2 linked regions of the Ovis aries genome follow. The protein of the gene in region 1 purifies or fractionates together with the protein of each later gene. This does not show direct contact. Links are inferred from orthologs where the notes say so. Each region holds a gene or a part of one and is shown on either strand. Other genes may lie near its edges.

The links.
Region 2: the proteins of RAD23B (region 1) and PSMB7 fractionate together in Homo sapiens (co-fractionation; 3 studies listed by BioGRID, with this or other methods). This does not show direct contact. The link is inferred for Ovis aries from reciprocal best matches to the Homo sapiens genes RAD23B and PSMB7.

What each region holds. Positions count from the first base shown.
Region 1 is NC_056055.1:15,850,761-15,855,038, reverse strand, and holds the start of RAD23B (UV excision repair protein RAD23 homolog B), read left to right. Parts: upstream 1-1,362; 5' UTR 1,363-1,391; coding exon of another isoform or gene 1,392-1,565; 5' UTR 1,566-1,665; coding exon of another isoform or gene 1,666-1,717; coding exon 1,718-1,783; intron 1,784-4,278. Other genes in the region: uncharacterized protein LOC121818810, read right to left, coding at 981-1,288, 1,392-1,565, 1,666-1,719. UniProt on the Homo sapiens protein: Multiubiquitin chain receptor involved in modulation of proteasomal degradation. Binds to polyubiquitin chains.
Region 2 is NC_056056.1:11,429,967-11,433,780, forward strand, and holds part of PSMB7 (proteasome subunit beta type-7), read left to right. Parts: intron 1-1,659; coding exon 1,660-1,775; intron 1,776-3,814. UniProt on the Homo sapiens protein: Component of the 20S core proteasome complex involved in the proteolytic degradation of most intracellular proteins. This complex plays numerous essential roles within the cell by associating with different regulatory particles.

The sequences.
Region 1 (4,278 bases):
ACTACAAATAGCTATCTACTTATGGGCTGCTAACTCTGTGCGTTCCTGGTACAAAGGTTTTACATACATTATTCAACACTCCCCTCCAATAATCAATGAAATTGAGTGCTATTACTATTCCCATTTTACTGATGAGAAACCGAGCGCACATTCATGGATTCCAAAAATATTTACTGTGCCTGCATTACACGCCAGGCATGTTTCTTCGTGCTAGGGGTGCATCACCCAACACAAAATCTCTGTGCAGCTTGCCTGTGATTTACTGAAGGGAGAAAGATGATAAACCCAATAAATATGTATTAATGGGACGACAGAGGATGAGATGGTTGGATGGCATCACCGACCCGATAGACTTGAGTTTGAGTAAGCTCCGGGAGTTGGTGATGGACAGGGAAGCCTGGCGTGCTGCAGTCCATGGGGTCGCAGAGAGTCGGACACGACTGAGCGACTGAACTGAAGTGCTATAGAAAACACAGCAGGGTAAGGGAACTAGGGAAGTTGCTGTTTTAAGTCGGGTATCCAGAGTCGATCTCCCTGAGAAGGCGACATCCGAGCAAAGATTGGAAGGAAGTGAGAAGTCGAGCCACCCAGGTATAGAGGAAAAGTGGACTCGAAGCGGAAACAGCAAGGGTGAAGGTAGACTCTCAGGTTGAGAGCATTTGCTGAACATCCACCAACAACGTCTAGTGCAAGCCGAGAGAATAAGATGTAAGAGGTAGGGGCTGTGTACCCAGCTCTAGGAACTTTGACTTTTACTCATGAGATGAGGTGCCATTGGACAGATCTGCCTGGGGAAGTGATATAACTTGATCTTATATTTAGGCGCAAGGTCCACTAACATCGTCTAGCGCTTAAGTCAGTGTTCTCAGGGTAAATGAATCCCAGCACAAGGCTTCAGCCACACAGCAAGCGCCCTGCAAGCGCTGGCCCTCTACGCTGGTTGCCCGCAACCCTTTCACTTAAACCTCGCCCCGACCTACCGCCCTCTAGTTCCCCAGTTCCAAGGCTCGCCAGCCACTCTGTCCTGTCTCCACGTAGCGCTTCCCCGGCTACGGATTGCGCAACTCAGGCAACCGGGCGGAGTCTGCACGTAGGCGGAGCGACAGCGGGCGGGAGAAGGCCCCAGAAACAGACGCGACGAGGAAGCCCGGAGCGCCCCCACGAGACGCCCACTGACTGCGCCTGCGCACGCGCCATCCCGGCGGCCGACATTCCAGAGCGGCAATCCGCCCCGCCCCAATTCCGGGGCGGAGTTCTTGCCTGCGCCTGCGCACAGCCTCGCCGCACCCTACGCCTGCGCGCTCCGCCGTCCCGGCCCCATCCCCCCCAGGTTTTTAGGGTGGTGGGGGGAGGGCGCGTCTCGGCGAGTCACGATGATGGCGGCCACCAGCCTGTGGTGAGCTAGCGGATTCTCTGCTGCTCTCGCAGAGCCCCTCGCGCTTCTTACAGACCCAGTGGCTGGTAACCGGGCGCGTGAGGAAGCACGGCGGCCCGAGCTCGCGAGGAAGGCCGCAGTCGCGGAGGCAGCGGCGCGGCCGGGAGCCAGGGCTGGGGGAGAGGCCGCTCTGCAGGGCGAATGTGACAAGCCCCCACCCCCACCGCCTTCCTCCCGAGTGCGCGAGGAGCGCGGGCGACCCCGGGGCCCCGCCAGGCCACAGACCCCGCCCAGCGGCCAGCACCCGGAGCAGGCCCGGCAGCCGAGCTGCGCGACGGCACCATGCTGGTCACCCTGAAGACCCTCCAGCAGCAGACCTTCAAGATCGACATCGACCCCGACGAGACGGTGAGTGCGGCGGGGCGCGCTGGGCCCGGCACGGAGCGGGGGCGGTCCGCGCGAGGGGCCGGGAGGGCCTGGGCTGGGGGTGGCGCGGCGGGACCGCGTGCGGGGCCCCGACCTCAGCTTCGAGCGCAGCCTGAGCGGGTAGAGCCGCGGTGCACCCGAGAGGGCATGGCGAGCGGGGGGTCTAGGGACCCGGGCGCTTATGAGGCCTGCGGGTTCCAGGCGCGGGTAGGGCCAGGGACCCGGCAGCGTGCGGCCCACTGGACCTTCAGGGTGGGCTGTGGGCTTTGTGGCAGGAGTGCGGGGAAGCAGTGGTCGGACACCGAAGCCCGAGTGGCATATGGCGTGAAGCACGCGTTAGCGGGGCACCGGAGGCCTCGGCCTGGGCGCTCTCGGTGGAGGGGCCAGAGGGGGAGGGGAGGTCAGGGTGGCCTGGGCGGTCGAGCTGCGCTCCGGGGTGTGGGTGCACAGGTTAGGGAGGGAGAGGTAGGCGTCGCCACTATCCCTGCGTGGACCTGGTTAGGCGCTGAGGTCTTGGAGGTGGTAACTGGAGATAATGAGCCTTAAATAAAATGGTATCAGGTTCCGTCAGCCGCAGAGTGTGAGTGCGAGGGGTGGTGAAAATGCCTTTTTTGCCCTCTTCCCCGCAGAATTGGTGACCATTTTATTTGCATAAATCTTGAATCGTTTCGCAGCAGTTCTCCCGCCACCCAGCCCACACCCATACGTAGATTGCACTTCGAGGCCTTTTTGGTGGTGAAGGTTGTTGCATTAGAGCCCTTCCAATAAATCCAGGCGCAAACTTAACTCCAGATTAGCAAGTTCCCTGTGTTAGAAGCCTTGAAATTGTAGGATCGGAAGTCTGCACCCAACCCCCAAATAATAGCCTTTCAGAGGAGAAATAAAGAAAATAAAAACTCTGACTCTCTTCTGTAAACTCTTGAACGACTCTTAACTTCACCTGTTAAATTCTCATGTCATCCTCTGTATTTGTGACTGCAAAAAGCCACTGTGTTGAAATCAGTACAACTTTATGCCAAGATCTAAAAATTGCCATTCAGTGTAAACTTACTTCTTGTGTTCTGGAAGTGTGAGTCTGTACACCTTTGAGGTTGTCACAGTGCTGTATTTACAGTAGCAACTTTCTGCCCGTCTGTATTTTTCAAAATAATTGATTCAGTTTTGGTGGATGTCGGGGATCTTCAGTTCAGTCGCTTAGTCGTTTCCTACTCTTTGCGACCCTGTGGACCGCAGCATGCCAGGCCTCCCTGTCCAGAGCTTACTTATTTAAACTCATGTCCGTTGAGTCGGTGATGCCATCCAACCATCTCATCCTCTGTTTTCCCCTTCTCCTCCTGCCTTCAATCTTTCCCAGCATCAGGGTCTTTTCCAGTGAGTCATTTCTTCACTTCAGGTGGCCAAGCATTGGAGTTTGAGCTTCAGCATCAGTCCATCCACTGATATTCAGGACTGATTTCCTTTAGGATGGACTGGTTGGATCTCCTTGCAGTCCAAGGGACTCTAAAGAATCTTCTCCAACACCACACTTCAAAAGCATCAATTCTTCTGGGCTCAGCTTTCTTTATAGTCCAACTCTCACATCCATACAGGACTACTTGGTGTTGGTTAATTAAATAAACCTGAGCTCCCATTTTCGGCTCTAACTTAATTTGCTATGTACCTGTTTTACAAAGATGTGAAGATTAAATAGTATTTAATTGGTGGTCAGTAAATGGAATCCATTATTAATCAATGGGTACCTTTGAGTGAGGAAGTTTTCTACATCTTGAATTTTCATTTTAAAAATGTAGTTCCCAAGCTTTTTGAAATTGTGGCAGAAAATGGTTTTAGTTCAAGGCACTTAATTATATGTGTAAATATGCTACATGATAAATTCTTAAAAGGTGCAAGAGATACCAAGCTTCAATGAGAAATTCAGTGCCCTCAAAATTGACAACACCTGTGGATTGCTATTACTGAATAGTACTGCTTATTTTGTACTTATAAGTTAAAGGATGGAAGTGAAAATGCAGCTGTGTAATGTTTTCAGCCAAAATTTTCCATAAAATAGCTATTGACTTTAGTTTTTTGTAATGTTGGTGCTGCAGGAACTTAACCAACTGGTATTCACAATTAGTTCCAGAATTATTGAAACCTGAAGGTTTGGGGTTTGTGTGTGTGTGTGTTTTATATTTCTGGGTTTATTGAAGATATGCAGTGACTTTCTACAGCTCCACTGAAATATTTATGTTCTACTAGATTTGTGTTGCTCTTTAGGCATTTTACGCATTCATTATCTTAGAGCCAGTATTGTGTTTGTATAGATAATTAGCTATGTTACTATTTGTGTTTGTATAGATAATTAGCTATGTTGCTATTTTCCAGTTTATTTATATGAATTATAAACATATACTTCTGGAGGTAGATTTTCAGAAAGCTTACAGAGTTGCTGCTTCAGTTTTTTGTTGCTGTTTGTCCAAGTATAATTGTGCTGCTGT
Region 2 (3,814 bases), on another chromosome or scaffold:
CAGGATTGTAGCCGAGAAAGATTGTTCTAAGCTGTCCTACCATCAGTTGTGTATGAAACTCATGGCCTGATCTTTAATGATTGCGTAGTATTCTGCTGTATAGCTAGGTGTATTAGTTTAGGTAATTCTGTTTCCACTTTTCTAGCATCATAAACAGTTACTGCAGTAAATATTCTTATGAATTCATTTCTGCATATTTATCCTTTTATATTTTTAGAATTAGATTCCTGGAAATAGAATTTCTGGATCAATTTTTAAGGATTTCATTGACTTGCCAAAATAGCTTAGACTCTTTTAAAGGCATCAAGCAGATTATGTTTTAGCTTGGAAGGAAACTAGCTGGTTATTGTTGACTTTAACTGAACAGTCTATTTGGCAGGAGATATATATATATATATATATATATATATATATAGTGGATCAAGCACTGGGCTAGGGTGGGAGTGGTGGGTCTGGTGATTCTCTGGCTTCTCACCCCAGAGTTCCAAGATCTACTCTTGAACCTGTTGCCAGCTCATGTGGCTTAGGACCAATTTCTTCCCCTGTCTGGGCCTCTCTTCCCTCTTGAGACTGCTTCTAAAATCTTTCCCTGCTCTTTATTTTTTCACTTATAAATGGAAGATTTGAAGTAATGAATTGGTAATCAAGGGATGCAGGAAGTATTGGACTTGACCTAGAGCACTTCCTGATAGGTAACTGTCTCAGGCAGTCTAAAATTAGGACTTTGGTTTTTGTGTTAATTTATTTGTATCAATTTTAATGATTGTATCATCAGGCAAATTCAACATGTTTTAGTTTCATTTTTCTTCCCAAAGAGCCAAAGGCTTACACTGGAGAACTTTAAAGCCAGCATGTTTATCCAGTATAGCAGTTCTAATGGTAAAAAAAATTGATCCATATATAGGGAAAGAAATCTGTAGAAGTGTAAAACCAACCAAGTAGAGGGTCCAAAGGAGCAAATATGTGCAGAATTAAACAGATGGGGTCAGGTGGAAAATGTCTCTCCCATGTTCCTGAGAGAGATGGCTTTAAACTGTGGACAGTAGCAATGGGTTTATAAACTGTCATGGAGTTATTTCATGGTTCACTTCCCTGCATAATGAAGTACTTTTTTCTTTTATTCAGTATGAGCTCTTATCTGCCATAATTTTGTGGATTTATTCAAGGGAAAGGTATTTTGACAAAAGTGATTTTCCTGTGGTGAGGTTGATAATTTGAACAGTTCTAGTTTAACGACATTTCACCATTGACTTGGAAGGGACCTTATTTTCGAATCACAGAGAGGTCTGATGGGAGGGGTATTCATGATCTTCGGAGTAAGCCACGCTTGGCTCTGAGACTTTCTAATGACTTTGGGTTGGTTTTTCCTTCTCTACAATAAGAACTATAGTGTCTTCTTTTGAAGGGAGTTGTGAGGCAGAGATGATGTAAGGCACATGGGTGCTTCATACAATTTACAGTTTTTTTTGACTGATAGATGTTCAAATATGTTTGCTCCATTCCTTATTTTTTTCCCCATCAGAACAGTAGCTATTTAATGAAGCAGTAGTAGTGAAAGAAAAACTTTTTGTTGTCTGACTTCTCGTGCAACTTTTGAGTAAGTTATAGTGATGCAATGTAGACTCATTTTTTTTTTCTTATGCATGCTCTGATCACCAGGTATCAAGGTTACATTGGTGCAGCCCTAGTTTTGGGGGGAGTAGATGTTACTGGACCTCACCTCTACAGCATCTATCCTCATGGATCAACTGATAAGTTGCCTTATGTCACCATGGGTGAGTGTAATGTTTCCCTGATGTTTCAGAATCCTCTTATTTACCAAAGTAGTCTCTAAAAGAGCTGGTTTATTTCCTGATAGAGGAGGCAGCACAATGTGCTTTGATTCCTTCTACAAATATCTGTTGATTTCCTTCTGGGGATTAGGCCTGTTTTGTCTGCTTGGGATATAGCAGTGAACAAAATTTAGACTTAAGTGTCTTGCCTACAAGGAGTTTATATTTTAATGGGAGTGGACAGACAATAACAACAGCTTTATGTTAGAAAGTGATAAATACTAGGAGAAAAAAACATAATGTAAGTGATATTATACCACAATTATGCAAGATACTACCTTTGGGGGAAACTGAGTTAACAGTGTACGAAAACTTGGTTTATTATTTCTTACATCTGCCTCTGAATTGACAATTATCTCAAAACAGAAAGTTAAAAGAAAATTAATGCAGTGTAAGGGGACTTGAGAATGTTGGGGTGGAAGCCAGATAATACTGTTAAACAGGAAGGTTACAGTAGGTTCGTGAAGAAGGTGAGGTTTGAGTGAAAGGGGCTCCCAGGCAGAAGGAAGACTGGAGGCCTGCCTTGGGGAACAGGCCTGGTACGTGCAGAGAGTTTTTAAGTGACAGAGTCTCTGTTTGCCGTTTAGTCGCTGAGGGATCCTGGACATTTAAGGTTCCTCTCTCAGCCTTGATTTCCTCACTCTGAAATGGTGTCAGTAATGCCCACCATGCATGCAGGGTATGATGATTAAAAATGATGTATGTAAACCATCTGACCCAATGCCTGTTCTGTAAATAGTAGCTACACTTTTTATGTCAGCTTTGTACATTTGTATTTTAGCTATAAACGCTAGATGAATATTTTTTTTTAATAACTAAAAAAAAAAGTGATAAAATTACATTAGAAGAGTTGGGATTTTTGAATTTAACTCTCATGCTCAATTTCTGAGTGAAATTTTTGCATATATCCAGAAATTTGAACAGGCCATGTGTAACCAGCGTTTTTCTAGATGTTGTTTAACTTTCACATTTTTTGCCTTGGTATCTTGGCTCTGCAGAGCCAGGGATAACTGCTGCCTTGAATAGTCTGAAAATTGTTAGTGTGAGACTTTGCTGTTTCATTATGTTTAATACTCAAGCCTCTTATGAGGTTTGTATATAACAGATGTTCCCTGTTTGTGAGAAGAATGATTTGCCCCCAGATACCATATGGAATAATTATTTTAAAATGAAGATAGACTAATTTTAGAAATGTTTTGAATTCTTTGTTCCATTTTATTTGTTATCTCCATCGAGATACTGTTTTTATTTCTCCCCATCTGGTGCCTTTAAATGGTAGTAAAGGTGCAATAGTCTTTTCTATTAAGTAGTTTTATTTCTTCTTTTTTTAATTAAAAGACTTTTCACACTTGCAAGAAGGTAACAAGAATGTACAATGAATAGTCATATATACCCTTGACTCATTTTTGTCACCTAACATTTTACCACATTCTTGCTCGCTCTCTGGTGCATTTTTGCTGTGTGTGTGTGTGTGTGTGTGTGACCATTCGAGAGTAAATTGTGGACACTATAACCCTCTACCTCAAAATCCTTTAGAATGTTCCCTTACATCACCTTGATGACATCATCAAAATCAGAAAATTTAACATTGATACAAGGCCTTTTCATTTTTGCGATGGGAAAATTGAGTTGGTTTCTGTTGCTTTTGAATTGTAGTAATTTGTCTTATGAGCATCATCCCAAACTTAGGAAAGGTTGTTGGAAGTGAGTAAAGCAGATTTGTGTCTGCTCATTCCGTTCCTGCAAGTCCGCTTTGTGCCCCGTCCTGGCCAGCAGTGACCTGCTTCCCTCCAAGTCCAGCGTGCGTCCGTGGTGACGGCTCCACGCCCGGCTTAGAAATCGTTACTCTCCACAGTCTGGCTTTGCTTTCATAGGAGATTAAGAAGAGCAAGATACCAGTAACGTCCGATTTTAGATACACAAGTAAGATGTGACTTTTAAGGTTTAGTTTGCTTGTTCCCATCTGTTCATTTATTTATCAA